Linked DNA regions of Rattus norvegicus. The protein of the gene in region 2 interacts with the protein of the main gene of each other region in a biochemical or structural test. Links are inferred from orthologs where the notes say so. Each region holds a gene or a part of one and is shown on either strand. Other genes may lie near its edges.

What was found.
Region 1: the proteins of Plcg1 (region 2) and Bag3 form a complex in vitro, tested with the Homo sapiens proteins (2 studies listed by BioGRID). The link is inferred for Rattus norvegicus from reciprocal best matches to the Homo sapiens genes PLCG1 and BAG3.
Region 3: the proteins of Plcg1 (region 2) and Erbb3 form a complex in vitro, tested with the Homo sapiens proteins (2 studies listed by BioGRID and IntAct, with this or other methods). The link is inferred for Rattus norvegicus from reciprocal best matches to the Homo sapiens genes PLCG1 and ERBB3.
Region 4: the proteins of Plcg1 (region 2) and Pdgfra form a complex in vitro, tested with the Homo sapiens proteins (2 studies listed by BioGRID, with this or other methods). The link is inferred for Rattus norvegicus from reciprocal best matches to the Homo sapiens genes PLCG1 and PDGFRA.
Region 5: the proteins of Plcg1 (region 2) and Fgfr1 form a complex in vitro, tested with the Homo sapiens proteins (4 studies listed by BioGRID and IntAct, with this or other methods). The link is inferred for Rattus norvegicus from reciprocal best matches to the Homo sapiens genes PLCG1 and FGFR1.
Region 6: the proteins of Plcg1 (region 2) and Lat form a complex in vitro, tested with the Homo sapiens proteins (2 studies listed by BioGRID and IntAct, with this or other methods). The link is inferred for Rattus norvegicus from reciprocal best matches to the Homo sapiens genes PLCG1 and LAT.
Region 7: the proteins of Plcg1 (region 2) and Was form a complex in vitro, tested with the Homo sapiens proteins (2 studies listed by BioGRID). The link is inferred for Rattus norvegicus from reciprocal best matches to the Homo sapiens genes PLCG1 and WAS.

What each region holds. Positions count from the first base shown.
Region 1 is NC_086019.1:192,532,038-192,536,259, reverse strand, and holds the start of Bag3 (BAG family molecular chaperone regulator 3), read right to left. Parts: upstream 2,801-4,222; 5' UTR 2,700-2,800; coding exon 2,514-2,699; intron 1-2,513. UniProt on the Homo sapiens protein: Co-chaperone and adapter protein that connects different classes of molecular chaperones including heat shock proteins 70 (HSP70s), e.g. HSPA1A/HSP70 or HSPA8/HSC70, and small heat shock proteins (sHSPs), e.g. HSPB8.
Region 2 is NC_086021.1:169,804,068-169,808,098, reverse strand, and holds the start of Plcg1 (1-phosphatidylinositol 4,5-bisphosphate phosphodiesterase gamma-1), read right to left. Parts: upstream 2,801-4,031; 5' UTR 2,707-2,800; coding exon 2,490-2,706; intron 1-2,489. UniProt on the Homo sapiens protein: Mediates the production of the second messenger molecules diacylglycerol (DAG) and inositol 1,4,5-trisphosphate (IP3). Plays an important role in the regulation of intracellular signaling cascades.
Region 3 is NC_086025.1:1,593,880-1,597,379, reverse strand, and holds part of Erbb3 (receptor tyrosine-protein kinase erbB-3), read left to right. Parts: exon of another isoform or gene 1-592; intron 593-727; coding exon 728-879; intron 880-1,817; coding exon 1,818-2,004; intron 2,005-2,555; coding exon 2,556-2,681; intron 2,682-3,277; coding exon 3,278-3,343; intron 3,344-3,480; coding exon 3,481-3,500. UniProt on the Homo sapiens protein: Tyrosine-protein kinase that plays an essential role as cell surface receptor for neuregulins.
Region 4 is NC_086032.1:33,405,717-33,409,776, forward strand, and holds the start of Pdgfra (platelet-derived growth factor receptor alpha precursor), read right to left. Parts: upstream 2,801-4,060; 5' UTR 2,680-2,800; intron 1,778-2,679; exon of another isoform or gene 1,509-1,777; intron 77-1,508; exon of another isoform or gene 1-76. UniProt on the Homo sapiens protein: Tyrosine-protein kinase that acts as a cell-surface receptor for PDGFA, PDGFB and PDGFC and plays an essential role in the regulation of embryonic development, cell proliferation, survival and chemotaxis.
Region 5 is NC_086034.1:73,197,856-73,201,355, forward strand, and holds part of Fgfr1 (fibroblast growth factor receptor 1 precursor), read right to left. Parts: intron 2,957-3,500; coding exon 2,835-2,956; intron 2,509-2,834; coding exon 2,398-2,508; intron 2,037-2,397; coding exon 1,846-2,036; intron 443-1,845; coding exon 320-442; intron 82-319; coding exon 11-81; intron 1-10. UniProt on the Homo sapiens protein: Tyrosine-protein kinase that acts as a cell-surface receptor for fibroblast growth factors and plays an essential role in the regulation of embryonic development, cell proliferation, differentiation and migration.
Region 6 is NC_086019.1:190,369,337-190,373,574, forward strand, and holds the start of Lat (linker for activation of T-cells family member 1), read right to left. Parts: upstream 2,801-4,238; 5' UTR 2,566-2,800; coding exon 2,463-2,565; intron 2,291-2,462; coding exon 2,263-2,290; intron 2,153-2,262; coding exon 2,118-2,152; intron 1,887-2,117; coding exon 1,799-1,886; intron 1,662-1,798; coding exon 1,597-1,661; intron 1,514-1,596; coding exon 1,484-1,513; intron 1,405-1,483; coding exon 1,344-1,404; intron 1,276-1,343; coding exon 1,181-1,275; intron 1-1,180. Other genes in the region: Spns1 (protein spinster homolog 1), read right to left, coding at 3,579-3,673, 4,013-4,184. UniProt on the Homo sapiens protein: Required for TCR (T-cell antigen receptor)- and pre-TCR-mediated signaling, both in mature T-cells and during their development.
Region 7 is NC_086039.1:17,080,057-17,083,179, reverse strand, and holds part of Was (actin nucleation-promoting factor WAS), read right to left. Parts: intron 2,435-3,123; coding exon 2,392-2,434; intron 2,191-2,391; coding exon 2,037-2,190; intron 1,594-2,036; coding exon 1,184-1,593; intron 966-1,183; coding exon 851-965; intron 1-850. UniProt on the Homo sapiens protein: Effector protein for Rho-type GTPases that regulates actin filament reorganization via its interaction with the Arp2/3 complex. Important for efficient actin polymerization. Possible regulator of lymphocyte and platelet function.

The DNA.
Region 1 (4,222 bases), on a different chromosome or scaffold from region 2:
CAACCATCAAAACTCAGACTAGCACAGCACAGAGGTCAGCACACTTCGGTTTCATACAAATTCAAGCCACTTCTGAACAAACTCAGCCTCTTCTAACTGGTCCGTCCACTTGCCCCTCTCTCTCTATTGGGGTTGGCGGGTGACCTTCAGAAACACACGTGAATTCTCTGCGTTTCCTTATGCAGAAGGGAGGGGGACACTGTTAAGGACCTTTCAAGTTTAAAACTATAATGATGAAACTTTCATTTTTTTTCAAGCCCAAAACATCTGATTTAACGTTTTGCACTCTCTGCTTCATAAGAGCAGAAAGTTAATTTCTTTTGTTTGTTTTTTTATCTCACACAGATTTATGAAAATCCAGCCTAAAGCATCCACCTAGTGTCTACAGCAAATCCTGACACATTGGCTAAGCAGTAGCATGATGTGCTCAAACTTGATCTTCACTCCCAACGAAGGGTGCCAGAGGGTTGAGATCCTGCCTGTAGCTATAGGAAGGAGGCCTCAAAATACACACTGGGGGGCTTCTACTCCCCATGCAGTCTGAAGACGGCTAGTTTCAAGAGAACCTTTTACCCAATAATGGATGAAACGGACACACACACACACACACACACACACACACATGCACACACACATGCACACACACACGTGCACACGCACAGAGATACACGAAATTATGTCCATCCCAAATTATAGCCTCTTATAGTAATAATTTCCAGAAATATACAATTAATTTCTTGTAAATGTAAACTGCCAAGTATGTGGCTCACTGCTGGATAGTAAAGTTGTAGCAATAGTTGTAAGGAAAATGCTTGACTGAAGTTCTCAAGGCCCTGGGTTCAGTCCCTATCACCATACACATAAAAACCAAACTAGATTTTTTGTAAGATAATGATTTATAAAGCATTTTTAATTGGGTGAGTTTTTTAAAATACCAAATAATAAATAAACTCTTTACTGCTTTTATTTTTTTCCAGAAAGCAGTAAGTTTGTATTTCTTCTTGTTTGGTTTTGTTTTGTTTTGTTTGAGGCAATGTTTTTCTATAGACCAGGCTGGACTTGAACTCAAGAGATCCACCTGCCTCTGCCTCCCAGTGCTGGGATTAAAGCTGTGCACCACCAGGTCAGGGCCAGGTTAGAGTCTTTTAAAAAGTGTACTTATTTTTCAAAACTTTTCATTTTGAAAAGACCAAATTTACATAAATCATTACTGAACGGTATACTAAATATGACTTCTGTTAATTTTATTATTTTCAAAGATCCTACCTAGTCAGGTGGCGGTGGCTCATGCCTCAGGAGGCAGAGGCAGGAGGATCTCTGTGAGTTCCAGGACAGCTTGGTCAGAGTGAGTTCCAGGATAGCCAACACTACACAGAGAAACCCTGTCTCGAAAACTAAAACAAACAAACAAAAATCTTACCTAAGTTTGTGTTTTTAGCTCTTTTCAAAATTTAATTGATTTTTTTTTTAAGATGGGAGGGTCTTATTTCACAACACAGGCTAGTTTCATTCCAAATTTAATTACTAAATAACTTTTAGGATAGATTCTGGTTATATAGCCTAAGCTAGACTTGAACTCAAGATCCTCCCGCCTCAGCCTCCTGGGTGCTGGGATGACAAGCCTGAACCAGGTCAGGCTTATTTCCAAATTTGTATTTTCAAATTTTTTTGCTCTTGACACTGAGGCACACAAGCCTGAATATATATGTAAATGAAGCATACACCTGCTGTTCACAAGACTCCTCAGCTGCTTCTGGCAACAATCTCCAGTATTTGAAAACTACAATAACAAGGAATCACGCCATTAAAAATACATTCTCTTTCTCTCCAGTGTGAGGCAATGTCTTAAGCCAACGGCTAAGTATGGATATAATATCTGATTCTCTAGTTTTGAAACTGCCAGAAACAATATCTTTATTTAAAAAAAAAAGGAGTAGTATCAGAATACCTCTAACTGAAAGCAGTTTCAACCAGTAATAAGTTTAGTGGAGGAAAATAAGTTACTTACTCGAGCCTCCTCCTGAGTCACTCTATGCCTAAGATCCAATAAAGTCAGGATAACCCTCAACTAAGTTCTGAACTTGAAGGCGAAATCCACACAGGACTCCACTCAGCAGCCTTGCAAACCTGGCCGTGCGCCACCAGCACCGGAGGGAGCCGAGGGTCTCAGTACCGGACCAGACAGTCGCGGCGGAGCCTGGCCTGGGCCTCAGCCGCTCATCAGGCCCGTCGCCCTTCCATAGGACCCGGCGCACCGCAGCTCAGGCCACCACCTGCCCTTCGCCCCTCGCAAGAGGCTGTGGAAAACCACCCGATGTCACCGAGCGGGTCGCACCTCGCTGGCTACCCTCCAAGGCCACCCCGCCCAAGGTTCTCCGGGGCCCGACGCCGGTCCAGGGCCGGTACGGTTAGGGACTCTCCTGGCGCAGCAGGGCGCCGAGTGAAGTGACTCGCGTAGCCCTGGCTCGACCAGGCCCCTTCACCGTCGAGGTGGGACGTCTAGTTCCACTCACCTTAGGGCCCTCGGGGGGCACACGCGGGTCGTTCCACGTCGTGGTGCGGCTGTTGTGGTCCACGAAGAAGGGCCAGCCGGTCTGCGGGTCGATCTTGATCTCCCAGCCCGGGGGCAGGGGGTCTCGGTCGCTGGCTCCGTTGCCGGACGCCATCTGCATCACCGGCGACTGGGTGGCGGCGCTCATGCTTAGTTGGGGTCCGCCCGGGGCGCAGAGCTAGGGCGCGGGTCACGAGGTCGTGGAGTGCGGGCACCTCTGTGTAGCCGATGTGTCCGGGAAGCCGGTGCGGGCACCTTTATGAATTAAAGGACTGGGTGACGTGGCCGAAGAGGGGTGGAAGTGTCTGGAAATAGCCTCCTAGCTGCCAAAGGGGAAGGAGGAGATAAAGAGAAGGCAGCAACTGGCCGGCTAGAAACTTCTGGTCCCATCCAGAGAACTTGGCGGCCGCCGTGGGTTGGATGCGGAACTCCGCCCTGAGTCATCGGCTATAATCGCGGCGGGGCGGGACCGTGGGAGGGATTGGAGGCGGGGATTTGTCACCCGTCCCTCCTTCTAGTCTTCTCTGGCTGTCCCTCCCTACCCCTGTCCTGAGTGCGTCCCGGGGCCTGTGCGCCTCGCGCCCGGTGGACGCGCACCGGTGTCCTTGTGATCCTTGGCTAGTTTCGGTCTCTGGACTCCTCAACACTTATTCGTTGCCGCGTGGGGTGTCCCGGGGCTGGCAGTCCAAGGGCTGACGCCTAGGGCCCCACCTCTGCGTAAGGACTAAATCATCTTTAAACTCGGAAAGTCTAGATCTTCCCCACTCCCAAGTACGCTAATATTCAGTGACGCTGGCGTCCTGCAGTGACGTTTTTAATAACTTTTTCTCAAGGGCCTTAGGACTTCTCCCTAGGAGTTCTGGAATGCTGATCTGACGTCACAACAAAAAGAAAGTACTGTGGAAACTCACCTGCCTGCTTTGGGAAACTGAAGAACTAAGGACTGATAGGACAGCTTTGTGCTCTTGGCTTACTCTATGATATAGACACATTCGCATAGTGACTAGCCTTAAAATTTATAATCCCTGGGGTTTGTTTGGTTTTGTTTTTAATGATAAAGGTGGACTCTGATTTGGAAAATAAGGATCACACCACACCCTGCAATTTTGTTTGTGTAAGTGACAATCGACTTCTAATCCCATTACCCATCTGGTTCCCAGTGCCCTCCAGAGAGAGAATGTTCGGGGGATCCAGCTCAGGTTCTTAGCGTGCAAACTCATTCCCTCACTTCAGAACCTCCTGGAACTAATACTGAGCCCAATTTCCCAACGCAGATTCAGAGAATATCCTGGGACCTTCAAAGATACCATCTCTGGCCTCGTCCCCTCAGATTTTTATTCTGTAGCAAATACTCTGCCAGACATCGTCAAAGAGCTGATTTTTTTTTTTTTAAACTTCCAAAGACCTTCTTACTGACTCTAAAGTCTCAAAGCTTCGGTATAAATATTAACATAGCTAGCCTTCAGGGACTGACTGGCGTCACCAAACACATCTGTGTAAGCCCGAATGTGGGCTTATCATTTGATAGTCACATTGAAAGGTCTGGACTCTTAGATTCATTCACTGACCAGCGTCTGTCTTTTGCTTCTTTATACCTGAACCCACCCAGCACACGGCTAGGTCCAGGTCCAGAGTCCATCTTCAATAAAGAAATATTGATATTTTTTGAAG
Region 2 (4,031 bases):
GCAGCCGTTGTCTTCCTCTCTGGCCTGGCTTCAGGCAGGGTTGAGGTTATCACCAAAAAGTCAAAATACCTGGGGTATTTGAACAAGAGACCAGACAGCAGTAGGGGTTCCGGCTGGCAACTCAATCCTTTTCACAATCTGCAGGAGGCTGCAGGTTTGGGAACCCACCAAGGCAGTGAGGTGCATGTGGGCAGAAGTGGGGCAAGGCTTCGGTGGGGAGATCCATTCACAAGGTGTGAAGTCCACACAGACTAGTCTGCCAGCCTTCATTCTGAACCCCAAAAATCATAGAGCTAGACCCAAGGAAAACATGCACATCTCTGGATGACCCTTGTGGGTCTGGGAAGATTACGTCCTCTGTATTCCTGCCACCCAACCTCAAAGACCCGAGTGAGACAAAATGGACTATATGGTTCTGTCTCTAAATCCCTTCTTTCTGTCCAGGCCCCAATTCACAATGACATCCAATGTACAAAACTCCAAACACTTTCTCTACAGAAACACCTTCTACAAGGCAGGTGAGTGGATGAGTAAATGATGTGCGACAAAATGAAGGTTTCCTCTTTCTTACTGAGTAATGAGTTAAGGGGAATGTGAACCTCTCTCGGCCCCCCTACCTCCAAGCCCTTTGTTCCCCCTAACAGCCACATTAGACCTCCCTCAGAGCCCCCCACCCTGCCTCATCCCAGGTCTAGGAGGACAAGCATCAGCTATAGCTACCGCTGCTAATAACTGGTCCTTAAACATCTGCCATGTCTCTGCTCACATCTACTACATATTTAGTTTACTTGACATCAACTATCTCACTTCCAAGAGTGACCATTTATAATAAATGCACTTCTATAACTCACAGAGGAACCAAGGCTCAGAGAAAGAAAGCACCTGTCTGGGTGATGTACAGCTAACATCCAGGCTTCAAACGCAAACCTGTCTTTAACCATGGACTACACTTACTGTCTACTGGTCTCACACACACACGGTTTACAACACAGCTGTTACCAAGAGCTAGCTACCAGGGAACTAATGCCACCACTTAAACACAGGAAATACTACAGATGTAAAATGCCATGCCCGCAACCTGATGTCTGAGTGATGTTCTCAGGACTACAGGAACTGTCTGCAGTACCATCCCCCAACACTGAAAAATCACTGAAATGTTCTTCCAGTGGAGTCCAGGGCTGATGGGGCCGGCCACTGTTGATGGTTAAGTGCCATTTCTGTTTGGCAGCTATGTCAGACCTGAAGTTTGTAGTTGAGGATGGCTGCCTTACCACAGAAACCTTCCCTTCCTCTTCATCTCCTCACCCATCTACACACATAGACACCATACCCAGGAAGATCTGTGGGAGCTTCTCTCTGTTGTTACTTCCTGACACCAACCCCCTTCTCTAACACAGACCTGGTTCTGAGGCTAGGTCTCTTCAACCATAGTCTCTTTGGGGGTTTTTGCAAGACACATCTCAAAGCCTGGAGTTGCAAATGCATCATTTCCTCAAACGGGAGGACAGAGCTGAGTGCCCACCCAGCCTCACACCGAGGGAAATGGTTATCAGAAAGAGTTGAGGTTTCTCAAAACCCCTTATTCACTACTCCCACCAGAGACTTGTGTAAACCCACTAAACTCAGGTCTGGGAAGACTAAGACAGGAAAACCAGGGGAGCAACTCTGGGCCACCCTGTGGTCACTAGAACATCCGACACAAAGGGCCCAACCTCAAACTGGCTGTCAGCTCTGAAGAGGAGAACCCCAAGACTGGAAAACCTTTCTGAATGCAAGTTCCTCGTTAAATGCTGCAAGGGCAAAGGCGTCTGGTAGCTCAACCTGGAATCCCGGCTCTGGCTTTGGACATCTGCCATGGACCTCCAAAACTCAGATTTGGGACAAAAAAAAAAAAAAAGCATCCACGGGAGCTAAAAAAGCAGCCACTGTTTTAGCTTTTTGTACCCCGCCCTCCCAAAGGACCACGTTCTTCCCCGTCTCCAAGAGGGAGATGAGTAGGCCCGCTGTGCTCCACAACCAGCCCTACCCCAACATCTGCCTAAGTTCTACATGAGGATTCCAAAGGTTCTGGTGCCAATAAGCCCATCCCGGAGCTCTGAGTTCCTCACAGACAACACTCTCTGGAGAAAGGGCAATGGTCAGTAAGGTCTTGTCAGTTCCCCAGGTTCTCAGGTTGGATGAGGGGTTCCCTGCCTTGGCTTGCCCTCAAAGCCGCTGACAACCGCCCAATTCTAGGAGCCAGAATCCCACTCCACTTGTCCAAACAGTGAGGACTTTTAGGCCTCAGGGCAAAGTGCCTGGAACACTCCCCCCTGCTGGGCGAGGGGGTGTCCTATCAGGTGATCCAAGACCCGGATGCCCCCCCACCCGCCCCAGAGTGACCACCAGGGACTGGGCGGAGATGGGGCGCCAGGCGCGAGGCCCGAAAGTTTGCCCAAGTGTTTGGGAGGCGGGCGGGCGCGAGACAGGCCGGACTGGAACGCACTTACTGGACCCCTCGATTTTGTCCGCACCGCGGCTCCATGTGATCTGGCGCGTCTCCAACTTGACCTGGAAGGTCTTCCGTTCTGGCCGCTGCGACTTCTTGGAGTAGAACAAAGTCATGACGGTGCCCACCTCGAGGCTGCGGCAGAGGTGCAGCACCTCCGCTTCGGAGGGCGCGCTGGGCCCGCAGCCGTTGGCGCAGGGGGTCCCGACGCCCGCCATGCTGCAGCGACCTCGGCGACGCAAGCCGGCGGGCCCGGGGCGGCGGAGGCGGAGGCGGAGGCGGAGGCGGCGGCGGCGGCCCGGGAGGCGAGCGGGACCCGGTGGCAGCTCCTGCGGGCGGACGCGGGGCGGGGACTGAGCGCGGGGGCGGGGCGGGGCTCGGCTCCGCCCTCAGCGCGCCGGGAACAAAGGCGCTCCAAGGGACGACCCCCGCCCACCGCCGCGCCTGCGCCCCGCGACCCGGGGCAGGCCGCAGAAGGCGGACTTAACACACCTCGGTCCTGCCGAGCTTTCCCCGCGCAGGCCTGACACAACGCGGGGTACAACCGCCCGTCACGCACGCAACCCCGCCCACAGGCTGCGGCCCGTCAGTCAGCTGCGCGCACGGGCCTCCGGCCCGCACCGGCCCCACTGCAGCGTGCGCGCCTCCCAGGGAGTGGAGGGTGCCGCGCGACCCCCGACCCTCCCGCCGAACCGGGTTACCTGGGCAGGCTGCCTGGCGGAGGGAGCCGCGCCAGGCTGGCCGCCTCACACCCGCGGTGGCGGCGGGGGCGGGCCCTCCGCGCACCCTCTCCGGGGAGGGGCGCACCCGTGGATTGGCTAGCGGGCAGTGAGTGACAGCACGCCGCCACGCCCCCTCCCCACAGACGTCTTTTGCGAGGGCTGAGCAGACCGATCCTAGATTGGCCTTCGAGGGTGTCTTCTCGGGAAGAGGCCCTGCAGGTGTGGGCAGGCACCTCAGACCCTCGGACGCGGGCCCGGTGGCCTTCGAGGCCTCTCGCGTGGACCGCTGCCCTCCTCACGCTTCGTCCTCGCCCTACCTGCATGCTGATAGTCTCCGAAGCTCTGGTTTTATCTTAGCCTTGTTTTCTTCTGGACTCAGTGCTGGGCCAGTTGCCTGGTGGCTTCACCTCTGCGCAGACAGGTGACGCCAATCCTGGGTCTCCCCTGACCTCCCGACCCAGGCATCTCACTATCTGCGCCACAGCCTTCCCATCCTCATCACATGGCTCCTTCCAGCAGCTACACCTTCTCTATATGGCAGCGAACCCCTGAGTTTAGAAGGCCCCACGCCTTGCCAGGAACCTTTGTTCTTTTCTGCCTCACTCCTAGATAATCCACTGAGGTTCTTCCCTCCTCGAGCCTTTGGGGCTCTCTCTAGTCTACCAACGATCCTGAAGCCCCATCTTCTCTCTGTACACTATCCTCTTAGGTCTTGCCTGCATCTGCTTCAGAATTTACCAATAAAATGAAATTCAATCCTTTCAGTTAAGTACGTGAATTCCCACTGTGCTTCAAATCAGCACAGCTTCGTCGTTCCCCTT
Region 3 (3,500 bases), on a different chromosome or scaffold from region 2:
TGCACAGTGGTGCCCAGGGAGCTGGAGCATGTTGGCTTAGGGGAGGGAATGAGAAGGGAGACCGGAGTTTGGGGAGGGGGAGGCCGCCAGTTCCTTATCGTCCAGCTTTAAAGACAAAGCTCCCATTGACCCCCCCACCCCACTACCAGGGCTTGTCCCTCCAGTGAGGTCACTTTTCTAAGCCCAAAGCTCCGGGGTAGAGGGGAGTGCTGCTAAGGATGGGGTGTCTGAGGCAGGATGGGGCAGCCCCCTCCTCCTGGATAGAATTGCTTCATTGTGGGCTGAACTGTGGCCCCGGGCACTGCCCCCACCCTCTGCCCCCATCCCACCCTCTGCAGACACAATAGGGGCTGTGTGCTAGCCCCAAAGAGATGTTTATTCCAGGGCCTAGAGAGAGGCAGGATGGGGGCAGAGAAGTAAGTGCCTTAGTTGAGGAGAGGGTAAATGTTCCTGCCTAAAGTGTCCTTTCCAGGGAGAAGAAAAGCCAAGCATGTCTTACTTCTGTATTAACCCCTCAGTGCCCAAATTAGTGCCTGAAGGAGGCACAGTGGGGGCTCTGGTGGGAAAAGAGTCCACCTTCCTGTTTGGAACGGTGAGGGAATCGGAGAAGAATCTTGTGAGAATGAGAAGCAGGGGGGCCCTTGGAGGCCTTGTCAGGGTAACTGGGACAGGGCTTTCAGACTGGGGGCACCTAACTTACCTATCTGCCTCACCTCCACTTTTACAGTGTGTCCTGGGACTCTGAACGGACTGAGTGTGACCGGAGATGCAGACAACCAGTACCAGACGCTGTACAAACTGTATGAAAAGTGTGAGGTGGTCATGGGTAACCTGGAGATTGTGCTCACAGGACACAATGCTGACCTTTCCTTCCTGCAAGTGAGTATGCACAGCCCCTCCCCCAACCTGTCCCCACTCAGCCCCATAGAGCAGGCTTGCCCTCCCTTGAGACCACCCTTTGCTGCAGTCAGCATTGCTGCAGTCAGACTTCCTAAGACTTGCACACTGTAGCTGTCTTCAGACACTCCAGAAGACGGCATCGGATCCCATTACAGATGGTTGTGAGCCACCATGTGGTTGCTGGGATTTGAACTCTGGAAGAGCAGTTAGTGCTTGTAACCACTGAGCCATCTCTCCAGCCCGACTTAGTAGTTCTTAAGGCTCAAACCTAGGGAGACAGTGACTGTAGTATGCCTATAAGCAGGGGTATATAAAAGCTGGCCACCAGGAAGGGAGAGAGCAGGTGGCGTTCTGTCAATCAGAATTGTACAGTAAGCCACCTGAGGAACCAGAGTCACCCGGAGAGGCGAGGACTCCTCACCCTTCTGTTATGACTCAGAGAAGAGATAAGTGGGGAATGTAGATCTGTGCTCATTTCTGTGGCTTGTCTTGGCTCACCGAATGGCATAGTACTGTGACAGCATATCCCTACATATCAGGGAATTCAGAGCTGGGGTTATAGCTCAGTGATGGGGTGCTTGCAGAACATACATGAGGTCCTAGAATCAGTGCCAAGTTTGGGGTTTGGGGGAGAAAAGAAAAGAAACTCAGGGAAGCTGGACACAGGACGGGAGTCAGGGGCAACTGTGGTACACTGGTGGAGAGTACTCACCAAACATCAAGGGCTTGGTGTGGTGGCGCACACCTTTGATCCCAGCACTCGTGAGGCAGAGGCAGGCAGATCTCTGTGAGTCTGTGGCTATCCTGGTTTACAAACAGTGAGAAACCAGGTCTCAAAATAAATAAATAAATAAAATAGAGTTAAAGAAGCCGGAGACCTTTTGTCCTATTCACTGCTGCGGTCTGCTCTGTCACAGTGGATCCGAGAAGTGACAGGCTACGTCCTCGTGGCCATGAATGAATTCTCTGTGCTTCCCTTGCCTAACCTCCGAGTGGTCCGGGGAACCCAGGTCTACGATGGGAAGTTCGCCATCTTTGTTATGTTGAACTACAACACCAACTCCAGCCATGCTCTGCGCCAGCTCAAGTTCACTCAGCTAACAGGTGAGTTTCTGATGCTCCCTTCCAGTCTCGCCCCTGAGCCTTCCTGCCAACAGGCACCTCGTCGATGACCCAAGACCGCTCCCTCTGGTTCGTCTGGGTGCCCACTACCTTGGTGGTCTAAAAGTCCACTACTCTTTAAGCAGTAGCTGGCCCCAGGAGGAAACTGGGGGCATCTGCTCCAGGAAGGACCTTATGTGATGGCGGGGTTGGAGTGGGAATTGAGTCTATTGATAACCCTCCTTCCCTGGAATCCTTTGCCCCAACCAATTGGAGAATGTAGGGGTTAAACAGCCTGGGCACCCGCTGCTCTCCCTGTCTCAGTTGCTTAGAAAACATTCAGGTAGGCCTAGGGGATTGAAGCAGGACGTCCTGCCCCTCCCCCACTGGCTAAACCGGATCTACACAGGTGTCTGAAGAGGCGGGAGATTCTTTAGCCTGACTCCTCCTCTTTGAGAGCCAGCTTTTCTTGAAGCTCGAATATTATTGGTAGGAAGACATAGAAGGGGAGTTGTGCTATAATTTTCAGCCTGTGACTTCTCTTCCCACCACAGAGATTCTGTCAGGGGGCGTTTACATTGAAAAGAATGACAAACTTTGCCACATGGATACAATTGACTGGAGAGACATCGTGAGGGTTCGAGGCGCTGAGATAGTGGTGAAGAACAATGGTGCGAACTGTAAGTGGATGCCATCAAGGCGGCTCACCTCGCCCCAGCAAACTGGAGCGGCTCCTTTCCCATCCCTACTCCATTCATTCCCTCATCTGAACCCACCTTCCTCAAACAGTCACCTCAGACCATTGACCCAAGAGCCTGTCAGCCAGGACCGGGTCAGTCTCCTGGAGCCCAAACCAATGGATCAGGAAAAGAGGCAGAAGTTATCTTGGGTGCTAAGCAGAGAAGCCAGATCTTTGGATTAGCTCCCTGTTGCTCTTGCCAGTATAATATCCCCTACTGCTCCAGTCCACTCAGGCACAGAATTGGCTTGTCTGGAAAGAACCAAGTTCCTGGGATGGCACCAGGCTGAGACTGGCATCTGCCCCAGTCCCTGCCTTTCAGCTGCCCAGTGGGTAGTGTGGAGGAGTAGCTAGCCCCGCCCCTTGTTGACAGGTTCACTTGAGCCCAGCCCTGCTCTCCCAGGGCAGGGAGGGACACAGCCCAGGGCTTTTGCTTCCTGGGATTGAGCTTCCTGTGTGCTGACATCATACCTTGTTGATCCAAGCAAGCCTTTCTCAGCTCTGATGGTCCGGTGTGTCCTCTTGCTTCCCAACCAGGTCCACCCTGTCACGAGGTCTGCAAGGGACGGTGCTGGGGTCCTGGACCGGACGACTGCCAGATATGTGGGTTTGAATTTTCTTGTAAAAAGTTAAAGCTCACATCCTCCCATCCCCTTTACCTGTGCAATCCTGCAAACACTTAGAATGAGCAACGGCCCCTGAATTTAGCCCTGAGCGTCGTGTGTTCTCTCTTTCCGTAGTGACCAAGACGATCTGTGCC
Region 4 (4,060 bases), on a different chromosome or scaffold from region 2:
CAGGCAGAAGGCTGGTCACCACGTCCCCAGGTCGCGCGCAGCCTAGGTCCTGTCCCCAGGAGGCAGAAATCCCGCCCGCCCGCCTCGGCGCCTGACGCGTTTGCAGCTGGAAGCTCGGCCTGAAGCCCCTCCCCCTGCTTCTCTCCCAAGCCCGCGCCCAGGAAGACCGTAGAAGCCCCTGGGCCCAGAACTGGGAGGCCAGGTTGTGAGTGTAATCCCTGCGGGTCAGCAGACTAAAGTAACAGAGGGAAGCCCTGACAATAACTAGTGGAGTTGAGCTGTGTTCGCCCCCTTCTCCGGTGAGCTTTATAAATTCGGCTGTACTAGGGTCAATCCAAAAACAGTACCATTGCAAGAGTTCCGAAGCGGGAACTGACCATGGGGACAAATCAATGGTGTGTCACAGGCACACACACACACACACACACACACACAGAGAGAGAGAGAGAGAGAGAGAGAGAGAGAGAGAGAGAGAGAGAGAGAGAGAGAGCCCTGTCGAGGAATCATCGAAGGAGTCCTCATCAAGAGGAGTCTGGAAAGAAAGAAGTTGAGAGGAAGGAGGAAGACGGAAAACCTTGGTCCGGGAAAGTCCGAGCACAAGAAAGGTTATGTAAACGCCAGTGCATCCGCAGAAGAGGTGCGCACCCCGAGAAGTGCCCTCAGCCCCATGCCTCTTCGGCGACTTTGGGTGTTAAATCTGGGGCTGTGCAGCTGCGAACCACAGTGCGGGTTTACACTAGAGGCCTCCTCCGGCTCCTCCAGGCTGCCTAAGACTGATCCGAAACCATTCAGGAGAAGCAACTCAGTCCAAAACATTGAGCAATTCCGCCACGAAGCCAAAAAAACCGTTTCCCACACCGCCCAGCCTGGGACTTTTCTGGGCAGCTCTGTCCGACGCTGGGCATCCCAGACTTTAAAAGTGCCACCCACGCCCCCTCCCCAGCTTGGGTTCCCCCACGCACACCCTCCGGGGGTGGACTGAGTGACCAAGGTCTTCCAGGCATTTTCCTTACATCTAGAGGTCTTAGCAAAGCTGGGAGCTTCTAAGCGCGGGTCCTGCAAGAGCGCCCCAAAGCACACAAACAGGCCAGCCCTTCCTTTCTCGCCAAGGCCGGTCGCTAAGTCACTGGCAACTCCTGCACACCTGGCTGCGAGGCTCTGGCTTGGTCCTGCTGTAGACTGGGGCCGAGCCATACTGCCTTACTCTGCAGACTGTCCCGCACCCCCTTCCAAACAGAAAGAAGCTTCAAAGCCAAGGGAGAGCCGCCTGCTTTCTCGGTCCCGCTTGAGTTGGGGGTGTCGGGGGAGGGAGTCATGTATAAACTGATTTCCAATGGGGATAACGGTGAAAGGAGAGAAGGCTGCGCGGAGATCACTCCTGAGCCTTGCAGGACACTGAGCATTGCATTCAGGCGACCAGTGCCACGCACCCATCATCCCAGGGCAGAGACACCCAGAATTCTGTAGGCAGGAGGCGAGGGTGTTTGGCCTATTATATTTCTGCTTACCTGTACCCACGTCTGTCCTTTCAGAGTTGTCCTGACTTCTTCCCAAGAGGTCAGTTCCTAGCCAGGGATCTTGCCTCTTTGCTGCCTGCGGCCAGGACTAGCAACAGCCAGGCCCCCGGCCCTGCAGAAAAGAGTCCACTGGAGACTCAGGCGAGCAGAATGGGGGTGGGGACTACGGAGCACAATGAGGGCCCCTCGGAGTGCAGTTCGAAATTCCTCAAATCCCAGTTGCTGGAATGCGAGGCCAGGACGACTTCTTCACTCTGGGCCAAATGTGTTTGTCATTATTCCAGATCGCTCGTCCGCGCCGCCGCCTGCGTCGCCTGGGTGAGAGGCGCACGAACCCAGCGCACTGAGGATTCCGCCAGCGGCTTCTAGCACCCAAATAATTCGCTCCCAACTCTCCGGAACCCTCGGAGCAGGCACCCCCTCGCCCGCTCACTACTCTCTTGGTGCCGCAGCTGCCACTGCCGCGCTCAAGTCTGGCCCCAGATGTTTCCAGTAGCCTCGCCGTCCAGTAATTACGAGGGCTCGACTGGCGCCGAGCGTGCCCGGCCGGCATCCGAGGTCCGACCTCCTCCAGCCGAGCCCTTCACACCTCCCTTTTTCCTAGCCCTTTCCGGCGCCCCACCCGGCGCCCCTTTCCTCCCACACTTCTCCTGGTGTACCCCCTCCCCAAGCTTCGCGCCACACCACCCGCTACCGCGTAGTCCTGCCAAACCGCGGGCGACGAATGGAAATACCCATTAAAAACCTGTCCTCTTCCACGACCCATTGCCAAGAGGCCAAACACCGTTACTTCCACCCCCAATGTGACTTGGTGTTCGTCCCAGTAAGCACGAATGCCACCCCCACCCTGGAGAAAAACCTCAAAAATGTAAGCCTAACTATTTCTTTGGGAGGCTATAGGATTGTGTAGAAAAACATGGCTTTTAAAAATAGGTCTGGACTTTTTTTTTTTTTTTTAATCTTTGACTCTCTAATGGTTACCCCCATCCCAGTGAAGTTTATTCAGAATAAGTTACTTTCTGGACACACAAGTGAATTCAGCCGTTTTGTTTTTGTTTTTGTTTTCCTCGTTGCCCAAAATTTGAAGTTACTTAGCTTCTTCCAGCCCCAATTTACGATCAGGGATCTTTAGAAACAAAAGTCACTTTTCCCTCTCCCTTACCTTCTCCTCCTACGTCAGTTTGCTAAGAAAATCCGATAGCCCGGAGGAAAAAGTGAGCCCCAAGCCTCCAGTCCTCGCCCACAGTTCCTCTGTTTGTTTCACTCCCTCAAGCTCCAACAGTAATGGGCTCAAAACCCGCATTTTGTAATTGATTCAATGTTATAGTCCATCCTCCGAAAACTAATCATTTGCTCAAAGTAAATAGCTGTCAGGAAATGAAGTCCCCCCCCCCCCTGGTCTCTTCAAAATAAAAGTTTCCCTCGGACTCCTCCTTGCTCTCTGAACCTCTCAGGCTCAGACCTCTCCATGGCTTTTTGCTCTTATGCAATCAGGGGGGCCAATCCCAACCCCCAGACTTCAACAACAACGGGGGGGGGCAAACCAGATGGGGTGGGGGTGGCTGAAGGGGGAGGTGTTGACGTTCTGCCGGGAAAGAGGGTTCATGAAACTACAAACAGCCATCATTTCCAAAATGAGTTGACTTCTCAATGGGGGAGGGGGGTGTCGCTATAGTTTTGTACTCCCTTCGAAAGGAAAACACACGTAAAATTACTGCTTATTTCTAAAACGAATATAAATCTAGAATTCAAATTCTCCCTTCTATAGGCAGTCCGGGCCTCGCTAGAAATATGGCCCTGGGGAGAAATCGTAATGCGGCTGCGTCGTTTTGAACTGGGGGTCTTAGGGGAAAGTGCCGCGTAGTTGGTAATCCTTTAATGGGATTAGGAAACTGTGGAGCCTAATAGGAAGATGATGGGTTTTTGAAAGGCTGGATTGTGAGATGGTGTGCAAATAACGGTTGCTCAGCGTACCTTTGGGATGGATGTTCTCCGGAAGAACGACCTTTATCCCTTTGGAGCCACTTATCTGGTACTGCCTTTGTTTTCTGAGTTATCTGGTCCTCGTTTCTTCAATCTTCATATGAAAAGGCCCAGGCTAGGTGTGACTACGGGACGCCTGCCCTCTGCATCTGGATGGCAGAAGTATTTTGACCTTCCTAAATTCCACCCTTCCGAGTGGGTCCCACACGAGGTACCCTAGGAAAGCTTTCGGGATGTTTGAGCCACGAAACCGAGACACCCAGCGAAGAGTCAGTAGGGACGCCGCGATCCTGCGGGCGAGGGAAAGGGGGCGCTGACACTCCAGGAACCAAACCTGGGCGAAGCGGCACTTCCCAGAGCGAGTGGGGGAAGGGAGGGCCTTCGACTTGCGCTCTATTTTTTGAATGCTCTTGGGGGGGGGGGGGGACGACGACGAGAGTAGTCCTTTATCCTCACCACCACCCCCAAACACACACTACCTCCATCTCACTCATATCCGAATTAAAATGGACAAGGCGGTCAGGTAGATAACAAAACGTCGAATAACCACTGGTTATTTC
Region 5 (3,500 bases), on a different chromosome or scaffold from region 2:
TCTAACTCACACATCACTCTGGTGGGTGTAGATCCGGTCAAACAATGCCTCAGGTGCCATCCACTTCACAGGCAGCCGGCCCTGCAAGCAGCAGCGTCTGTGTTAGCGGGATGACTCATGGGGCGAACTGAAGATGATGGCTGAGGCAGTGAGGACACAAGTAGGTGGGAGCCAGGGTACGGGACACACATCTGCAGCCCTCCTACAAGCCCTTTTTTCTTGGACCACTCAACCCCCACACGAGAGCAACAGGAAACATCGAAGTGGGCAAAAGTCTAGTGGCAGGGAGCCCCGGGGCCGTGCCGAGCAGGAAACTTACATTGGTGGTTTTCTTATAGTAGTCGATATGGTGAATGTCTCGAGCTAGGCCAAAGTCTGCGATCTTCATGACATTATCCTCTGTCACCAGGACATTCCTAGCAGCCAGGTCTCGGTGTATACACTGAGGAGGGAAAGGACCAGAGGAGATGACAGCCCTGCACTGCCGAGCAGCCATTCAGTCCCCTCTACTCCAGCACTGCCTATGTAGTGGGCAGCAGGACTGCGTTATCTCACGGGTCTTCCTTCTGCCCACCCCACCCCCCCAATATCCTCTAGATCTTCCCATACCCTCCAGACGACCCCTCACAAACATTCTTTAATTCCAGACACCTTCGACTATAGCCTTCTCCAGGACTGTAGCAAGCCCTCCTTTATGCCTTTGTTCTAGATCCTAACCTCTAGCTTTTAGATTCGTAACTCTAAAACAGACCACCTGGGCCTATGCTAGGTGCTAGCTGAGTGCTATGCTAAGTCTGTGGAGGTGTGTGTGCTGAGTACCCTCCTCCCTGGCAAGGCATGTCTGCTCTGCATACGGAGCTCAAGCAAAGACACCATGAGCACTGGAACCATGCCGGGTTAATTTTACTTCTACTATATTGAAACAAGTATTCTTATTCTGTATCTGATGAAATACAGGGGCGGGAGAGAAGAAGAGCACGGCGGACTGCTCTTCCCGAGGCCCTGAGGTCAATTCCCAGCAATCACATGGTCGCTTATAACCACCCGGATTGGGACCTGAGGCCTCTTTTGTCATTCAGGCATACTCGCAAATATATATATAAAACAAAACAAAAAAAAAATTTCTTTCCAGTGTTTTGAGACAGGGTTTCTTTGTTAGTCTTAACTGTCCTAGAATTTGCTATGTAGGCCAGGCTATCAGGCTATCCTCAAACTCAGAGATTGGACTCTGCCTCCTAAGTGCTTGGATTAAAGACTTGGGCCACCACTGCCCAGCAAATAAATGAATCTTGAAAGAAAGAGAAAAGGAGGGAGAGAGGGAGACAGAGAGAGACACACACAAAGAAAGAGAGAGAGAGAGAGATAAGGAGATAGATATAAGGCTGGGTTCTATGACACATGCTCCGTAATCCCAGCCCTTGAGAGAGACCGAGGCAGGATACATTTTACACATTTCAGGCCAGTCTATGCTACACAATGAATGTGAGGCTGGCCTCTGTTACAAAAACTAGTGGGACCTTAATTTCAAAAAGAAAAACACGAATTAAAAATGGCTGAGTCTATGCAGAAAGTGGTTACACAGACTCCTAATCCGCTCTGATCCCAAGGGTACAGAGGCTCTCCCAACTCTCAGAGCCTACAGCACGAGGGGACAGGCTCCATGCCACCACAGCTCTAAAGGATTAACAGTCATAAGCTGGAGACAGGTAGGGCAGTGCTGTGTCAGCATCCCGGCACCAGAGAGACAGAGGGAGAAGGATCGTGAGCTCAAGGCCAGCATGGAGAGCTAGCCGGGTCCAGTCCCACCCTGCCTTTTGTGGGGAGGGGTGTATTCAGTCTCCACACCTTCTTCGAGGCAAGATACTCCATGCCCCGGGCCACCTGATAGGCACAGGACACCAGATCTTTGGAAGACAGCTGTTCCTCAGGGTTGTGGCTGGGGTTGTAGCAATACTCCAGCCCAGGAGGCCTCCGGGCCTGCAGATACTCCCGAAGATTGCCTTTGGAGGCATACTCCACAATGACATAGAGAGGACCTGAGAGCAAAGACGTAGGGACCACAGGTCAGGACATAGGTCAACAAGGGGAGCGCCATGTAATGGAAGCCCCTCCCCCTGACATCACAGCCCACCGTCTCCCATGCCCAGTGTAAACTCTTTCCTGCCTCCTCCAGAGGGAACAGGTAAAGCCATTCTGCCCGAAAGAAAGCCAGAACAAGAATTTTTACCATATAGTCCAGAACGCTCCCAGGCAAAGCTGAGGGTAGGCACCCTAATGCAGAGGCTAATGACATAGTTCCTCTCCGTGTTGGTAAGGAATCTTAAATGAATGCTAATCAGGCTGGCTCAGCTCCTGAATAACACATTAAACCCCCTCCCTGCCCTAGGAGCCACCTACCATCCTGTGTGCACGCCCCCAGCAGGTTGATGATATTCTTGTGCTTCCCGATCATTTTCATCATCTCCATCTCCGAGATCAGGTCCGACAGGTCCTTCTCTGTCGCATCAGCTTCACATGCAAACCAGAGGGGGGGGGTGAGGGAGGTGGAAAGGACATCTGAGGGCCCGGGGAAACAGATCCTGGAGGAGCCCCCTTTTCTCCAGGACTCCCTTCCTTCCCCCTGCTTCCCACCAGGAGCCACCACTACCCTGTGGTGCTACAGAAGGCGGCTAGAGCCACCACAAGAAAAACCAGCCAGTTATGGGATTTAAGAGCATGTGAGCCCCTGGACAACATTAGGAATCAAGGTGAGATTGTAGCAGGTGTGAGCGGAGACTGCATCATAGGATGCCTTCAAAAGGAAAAAGACCACAGGACACAGGAGCTCCACTCACACTTCAACATCTTCACGGCCACTTTGGTCACGCGGTTGGGTTTGTCCTTATCCAGACCGATGGCTTCGGCCAACACCACCTGCCCGAAGCAGCCCTCGCCAAGCGGTTTTCCTAAGACCAGTCTTGAGTGGGAGACAAGCAGTGAGTGACAGTTAGGACTGGACCAACGGGCAGTGTCAGTCAGGGCTGGTAAACGTCAACACCCCCCACACCTCCATTTTTCAAGACAGGGTTTCTCTGGGTAGCCCTGGCTGGCCTGGAACTCGCTCTGTAGATTAGGCTGGCTTTGAACTCAGATCTCTCTACCTCTGCCTCTCCTCCTGAATGTGGGGTAGACCTGCGTGCCTCTGCCTCCCGAGCTCTGGGATCAAAGGTGTGTGACACCATCAACCAAGAAGATCAAGCCTTTTTTTAAATAATTATTTTATGTATATGAGTACACCGTAGCTGTCTTCAGACGCACCAGAGGAGGGCATCAGTTGTAAGCCGCCATGTGGTTGCTGGGAATTGAACTCAGGACCTCTCTGGAAGAGCAATCAGTGCTCTGAACCTGCTGAGCCACCTCTCCAGCCCCCAGATCAAGCATTCCTCTTGGTATGTCACTCAACCAAGAGCAGGAAGTAGTGGGGCTATTTCTAGAGAGGCATCATGTTCTTTCAGTGCCTA
Region 6 (4,238 bases), on a different chromosome or scaffold from region 2:
ACAACAACAAAACCAGAGCCAGATTACAGACATGATAGTCTAGGGTAAATAGTCTAGGGTAAATGCAGAAGGTTGGGTGTTTCTGAATTAAAACTCCAAAATTCAGCATATTCCAAATCCAAAACCCTTTAAGTACTCGTGCATTACCACAAATGGAAAATTCCATGAAACTTTGATTTCATGCAAAAGATTTTCAAGACTGAGCATGGTAACCTACACCTTTAATTTGAGTTCGAGTCTACTTGGTCTACATATCAAGTTCCAGGACAGCCAGGACTAGACCATGAAGCCCGATGTCAATAAAACTAAGACAAAACAAAAACCTACCTTCAGACTTGGTATATATTATATAATGGTGTATATAAAACATAAGTGAATTAATCTCATGTTTAATCTTGAGTTTCATATTCAAAAGAATTTATTATATATTTATAAATATTTCTAAATCTGTATCGAAGTGTTTCAGGTAAAGGATACTCATGCTATGCAGAGACAAGAGGGTAGAAAACTGAAGATCACCAGACCTTGAGGAAAGTTCAGGGAAGGAGAAAGACCAAAGCAGAGAAAAGCGGTCCAAGAGAAACAAAGACCATGTGGGTACGCAGAAGACATCTTCAGTGAGAGGGGGTGAGAGACAGACAGATATGCAGAACGACAGAGACAGAGACAAGAGAGAGACACAGAGAGAAACAATCTGTAATCAAAGTTCTTACAGACACATTAGATGATATTGCTTCCAAGAAACAAGAACAGGGTACTATACAAAAAGAACTGAGGGGGGACTTTCAGATAAGAGAAATGGATTCTTTTATTTTCTTTTTGTTGATCGTAGTGCTGTTTTGGTTTCTGAAGAGAGGGTATCACTATGTAGCCCAGGCTAACCTCCAACTCAACCCTCCTGCCATAGCCTCCTGATGCTGGGAATATAGGCATGCACCCCCACATCCAGCCGAGAAATGAAATTTCAATGGAAGGGTTCAAGAAGAGTCAGGAAATCTCTTGGACAACAGAGAGGAGGGAGCAAAGGTGAAAGGAAAAACAAGACAATGGAAGGTGGAGAGCAGGAAGCTGGACATCTGAAGGAGGAAATGGAAGAGCGGCAATCATTACAGAGACAGAGGGAGGGAAGGAGAGGCTGGCAGCACATGGCGGAAGGAGGTAGACAGAAAGCCTGACTCACTAGAGAAGGCACTGTCTCCAAGGTCAGGGTTGCTGGGCACCGGAGCAGAGGAGACAACAGGGACGGCAGCAGGACTACTGTCAGGCAGCACCACTCTGGAAGGAAGGAATGAGTTGATAAAGGGTACCCAACTTCCACGGCCACCTCCCACCTCCCCACTCACAGGTAGCCCTCAGGATAGTCATCTTCATCCTCATCTTCATCCACGTTCTTACGGGCTGGCTCTATGAGGAAGGGGAGTCAACATGACCTGGACAGCTCCAGCCTCCCCACCCCACCCACTACCCTAGACCCCAGACCCACCCTGGTTCTCGTAGCTCGCCACACTGTTGGCTTCAAAGAGAGAGGGAAAGGAAGACCGAGTCAGCTCAGGTTGCACTTCCTCCCCAACGCCCTCCTGTGCTCTACACCCTTACCATCATCTGAATTCTGCCGGGAAGATGGCATCCGATGGGAGCCCCCGAGGGGCTGTGGGGATCTCCTGGAAGCCAAAGGCCAGAGATTACATCTGGGTAGGCCTCTGGGAGCAAGAGGGGTTAAACCAGGAAAAAGTGCCTCCCCAACCTAGAAGGTGTGGAAGCACAGTAGATCCGAGGGAGGGAGTTGGGGGATACTCACGGAATGGGGAGCAGGTCTGGCTGCCTCAGGGGTGGGAAGGAAGTGACAAGAGGGTAGGAAGTAGCAGGTGTTCGGGGGACGGTTATTTCTGAGGACACAGAGCAAAGAAAGCTTGAAGGGATGATGCCAGACATCCCCCCACCCTCATCAAGGCCTCTAAGGACAGATGTACCCCTGAAAACCATGCCCTAGACAGACATTGGGGCTCCCACTTCCCCCTATCCCAAGCCAGGTAATAACCCTTCAGACAGCTAAAGATGAACAGGACAAAGGCACAATCTTAAGAAACCTCGAGGAAGGCCAGGGTCACGGAACTCACGAGGTGGTTTGATGAGGATGCTCCTTGGGTACAAACTGGCAAGAAAGAGATAGCCTGAGTACAAGGGCTTGGGCCTTGGGCCCCAGCCCCAAGTCCTTGATTGGAACAAAGGGAAGACACACAGGGCCATGGGTTTGCCACTCACCTCTCTGTGGAAGCACTGTCATAGGAGGCTAGAGGAGAGACAGCCAATGAGGCAGGATCAGGTACATTGGAACAAGACACGCAGGTCCCCCACCCCCACCCAGGACTGAAGTAGGGACAGTTGGAGGGTGAAGGGCCGGGGACGGCATGAGGATTCGATGGAGTGTCCAGCATCCCGTTTGCCCAAAGCTCCCCACTTACCTGGCAACTCACGGCAGCGCACGCATAGGGCAGCCAGGAGCATGACCACGAAGGGCAGCAGCAGGAGGCCCAGCTCCACAGGGCTCAAGGCGTCTGCTTCCATCTGCAGAGCACCTGCCCCAGGCCCTGCTGCACCGCAGCCCCTGGAGGGGTGTGGGACCAAGCGGGCCCCAGCCTGGGATCCAGCAGCCGGCAGCTGCGTCTGCTCTCTTGCTCGACTGAGTTGAGATTAGCGTTGGCTCCGGAAAGGTGTTAGTCCCGGAGCCAGCGCTGGGGCCTGTGCCCCAGCCACCAGCTGCACGATCCCTGTGCCCAGCTGTACCTGCCTTTCTTGCTCCCCGCCTGCCTCTCCTTCTCACCACCCGCGTGCGACAGGAAGCTGTGGTGAGGGCAGGAAATCATCAGGCTCCTCAGCCGGCTGAGCCTGCCCCCTGCCCACTCACCCCCACCCAGTTGTGGGAAGGGGGAGGAGGCAAAGGGACTGTGTGAAGGAAGGGTCTGAGGCTGCAGAATGAGGCAACCCCTCCACTAGGAAAGGAGACACGTGCCAACCAGGCCAGCTGTAGCCTCCTCAGGTGGGAGAACTGCAAGGAGGCTCTGCCAGGGCCTGTGTGGACCAAGGGTACCACTGCCCCCAGCTCCTAGGCTCACGTACTGGGAGAGCGACTTCCAGAGGACCACGGTGAGTCACGGTCACACCGAGCCAGCTCACTCAGAAAAGAGCAGCCCTCCTTCTAGATTACCAAGCCCAGAAGACAGGGACTTACCCACAGGGTGACCTGACAGCCCCTGGTGAATCCGGAGGCTACAGATATTTCCCTGAAGCCAGTGGCAGCCACAGAGAGACAAGCAGTCAGTCGGGAGTCTGATTACAAATTTTATTTACATCCGTTACAAATAGCACCAAACCCCTTGGGCTACCCTAGTAGAGAGGACAACCCCCATTTCTGGACACCCATCTCTTCCCTGGGCTGCCCATGTAGTGTCTGGGAGCTGGGATCTATCCCAGGGCTTCCTTCTTGGACCTGGGCCTGGTGAGGGCTTCTGCCTGGGAACCGTTTGGGGTGGGCCCAGGACCAGCTGTGACATCTATGGCTGGGCTCGAGCAACGGCTCCTCAGATGAGCACACTGGACACAGGGACTCGGGTAGAACGGCCTCGCTGAGGTACCACAATCTGGTCATCTGAGGGCTCGGTCTCATGCAACAGACCTTTGAGAAAGGGATCAGAGCCAAAGCCAGTAAGATAAGAGCCAGCAAGGGGACAGAGGACAAACAGGCAGAGGAATACAGACGAAACAGCAGTGAGGGCCCTCAGAACTGCACACAGGCAGAAAGTCCAATCCACTTTCTGATAGACTCAATGCTGAGCTGGATGAGCCAGGGAAGCTGGGCTCTTGCCCCTGGCAGGTAGCTGGTGGCATGAATGTATGGGACAGTCTGAGTGGAGGGAGAACCGTGGAACGTGTACTTGGAGGCTGACAGACAGGCAGATGGACAGACAGACAGATGGCACTGTGAAGGTAGACCCTGACAGTGGCCCTCACTGACCCTGCACGTGGAGTTGTGCCCGCCGGCGGTCATTCTCAATGAACATGGCGGTGCCCAGGAAGGCCGCGCCACCCAGGGCCCCGACGAAAGCACAGAGCATGAGAGAGAACTGCAGAGCCCGGAACTCGGACAGGAAGGAAGGGGGCCAGCTCCTTCGGAGGCGGTCAGAGATCTGCAGGGAGAGGAGAGTCAGAGACACGGGGATGTGGAGCCCTGACCAAGAAAA
Region 7 (3,123 bases), on a different chromosome or scaffold from region 2:
CAGGCCCCTTCCTCTCAGAACAAGCAATACAGGCTACCGTGAGTCACTCTCAAGACATGCCAACCACAAAGAAGACCAGACCCGCTGCCTGGAAAAGGTTTAGACCAGAGTCACTTGGGAAAGACACTTCCCAGCCTGTTATCAGCCTGCAGGCTCCAGGCTCCCAACTTTTATGAGCTGTCACCCATGCTGGGATGGGATCTGGTGATACAGCTGTCTTGAATCATATCTGCTCCTGTAAGTGACCCCTCATCCATATTCCTGTAAGTAACCCTAATAAAATCCATTGATTCACCATGTTGGACTTTGGTGTTATCTGTCCTTCAGTCTGTCATGGGTTCCCTATCTAGGGTGAGAAAAGTCTTGTCACACAACTAAAGTTAGTATCACTGAACACATGCGGTTAATGTTCATACTGTGGGCATACCCTGGCAAATGTTAATATTATTGCCAAAGATGCACTTAATTATATTACTGCTGCCTGACGACTTGATGCCAACATGCTGAGAAGGGCCTTCAAAATCCATGTTTCTACGGTTATCCACAGATGGTGACTGTCAGCTTTCATTGCTGCGAATAGACATGAGCCTAAGGCTTTGAGCTAGACAACTGCTGGACCACTTAGCTCTTAACTCCAGCCTCTGTCCGTTGTTATTTTTCTGATTCGGGTTGGCCTTGAATGCAAGATCGTCCTTAACTTTTCCAGCACTGGGTTACACATATGCATCACATATATCACCATATGCACGGGCCTCTAGTGTCACCAGTAAGAGTGACATCTGGAGCTGTTTTCAAGCCAGTTCTAACTAGCTCCGGGGGTCAGGTCACAGTTCTGGCAGAGTGGGCTCACCTGAGGAGTGGATGACTTTACTCCTCTTCTGCATGACATGCATCAGGGCACCCACTAGGCCTTCTGACTGCTGAGGGAGTGCTTGCGGTACTGAGTTCTCCATAGCTCCAGGGGTCTGCAGCGAGAGGTTGGAGCAGAGAGGCGGGCTCAGGACTGTGAGAAGAGCATTTCTCCTGCCCTTTCCTCATTTCTTCTCTCACACACTCCAGTCTCTTTCAAGGGACCACACCAATCTCCAATTTATCACCGGGTCCCCCAAAGCCGGCATCTCAACCACGGCCCACAATGTTCCGACTTACACAGACCCCCGTTATCTATCCTGCCCGTCTTTACCTTGTTCAGCTGAATTCCTTGCCGGATTTGATCCAAAAGTGCGCCCCGGCCCCCACCAGGTGCTGGCCCCACCCCAGACACTGGAGTAGGAGGGAGCGGGGGAGGGGCTGGCCCACTTCCAGGGCAGACTGGAGGTGGTGGTGGTGGTGGTGGAGGTGGCGGTGGCGCTAGTGGTCCCCCAGCTCCAGGGAGTGGAGGAGGTGGTGGTCCAGATCTTCCAGTGGCTGGAGGGGGTGGTGGTGGAGGACCCCCTCGGCCCGGAGGTGGGGGCACTCGGGGTGTTGGTGGGGGCGGAGCACCCCCCATAGGTACAGGGGGCAGTGGACCACAGCGACCCTTATTACTCCCAACAGGGGGTCTTAGGGGCTGGCTTCCTCCTCCTCCTCGGCATGGTGGTGGTGGTGGTGGCTCTGCACAGGGGTAAAATAACACGTAAGTTTGATAAGTTTTGAGCTTCATTTTCTTTCTTTCTTTCTTTCTTTCTTTCTTTCTTTCTTTTAAACAAAGTCTCTTTTAAAAAAAATTTGGGGTTGGGGATTTAGCTCAGTGGTAGAGCGCTTGCCTAGCAAGCACAAGGCCCTGGGTTCGGTCCCCAGCTCTGGAAAAAAAAATTTTTTTTTTACTTTGTGTATAGAGGTACACTGTAACTGTCTTCAGACGCACCAGAAGAGGGCGCCAGATCCCATTACAGATGGTTGTGAGCCACCATGTGGTTGCTGGGAATTGAACTCAGGACCTCTAGAAGGGCAATCAGTGCTCTTAACCGCTGAGCCATCTCTCCAGCCCTTCATCTCTTTTTTTCTTATATATTTCTAGGGTAACAACCCCCAGGACCAGAGAAAAGAAAGCTTACCCTGGCGCCTCATCTCCTGCCGGACTGCCTCTAGACCACCCTGGTCCTCAATAAAGTCATAGATGAGCTTGGAGGTCTCTGCGTCAGTGAGTTGGGCCTCACTGATCCCTGCCCTAGAGAACAAACTGCGCAGATCCGGGTCGAGGTTGTTCACCTGTTCAAGTGGGAAAAGAGCAGAGCGGGGTTAAAAGCAGAAAGAGAATTAGGAAGGGGCACAGATTATCACCATAACCATAAAAACGAAGAACCCAAGAGGGCTGTGGAAGGGCAGGGGCTGGGCGTGCGCTCCGAGCCTTGGGCAATGGGAAAGTATGTGGAAACTGGGTGGAGTCAGGGGGTGTTTGGAGCTACTCACATCAAATCCGTTCTGTGGATCCCAGCCCACGTGGCTGACGTGTCTAGGGAAGGGAAGGGGATGTCAATCAAGCCCCAGGGTCTTCTTTACCTCTTGCCCTCTCCTTCCCAGAGGGAGTCCAAAAGGCCAGAACAAGTGAGCAAATACTTTGGTTCACATTCATCCGTCAGACCATTGGCTGGACCATGCCTCTGTCCCTCCTTCCATCTGCCTACACATACCTGTTTCCGGATTTGCCCACCAGTCTCTCCTCTCTTCTTTTCCTACCCATCTACTCCTACATTTACTTTTCCTTCCTTCCTACTGCTCTTCCCTCCTCTTCCTCTTCCCTTCTCCCACTTTCTTGTCTACGGGTTGTTGTTTTCTTCCATCTACTTTTTAAAAAGATTTATTTAGTTTGTGTATATGAGTACTCCATCTGCATGTGCACCTTACGCCTGCGCACCAGAAGAGGGCATTGGATCCCATTCTGAACGGTTGTGAGGCACCGTGAACCCTTGTCCTTAATGCTTCTATCTCAAAAGTGCCGGAGTACAGAAGTGCCCCACCGCACTTGGCAATCAATCCATTTGCTGTTTTACATGTTCTCTCCACACGTGTGTTCACTCATTATACACTATCCTCATTCTCTTGACTGTCTAGTTTTCTATCCCTGTCCACTATGTGGGTGAAACAATGAATCTGCATAACTGTCTGCATCCTCATTCACTCACCCATCCAGCTACCTGCCCA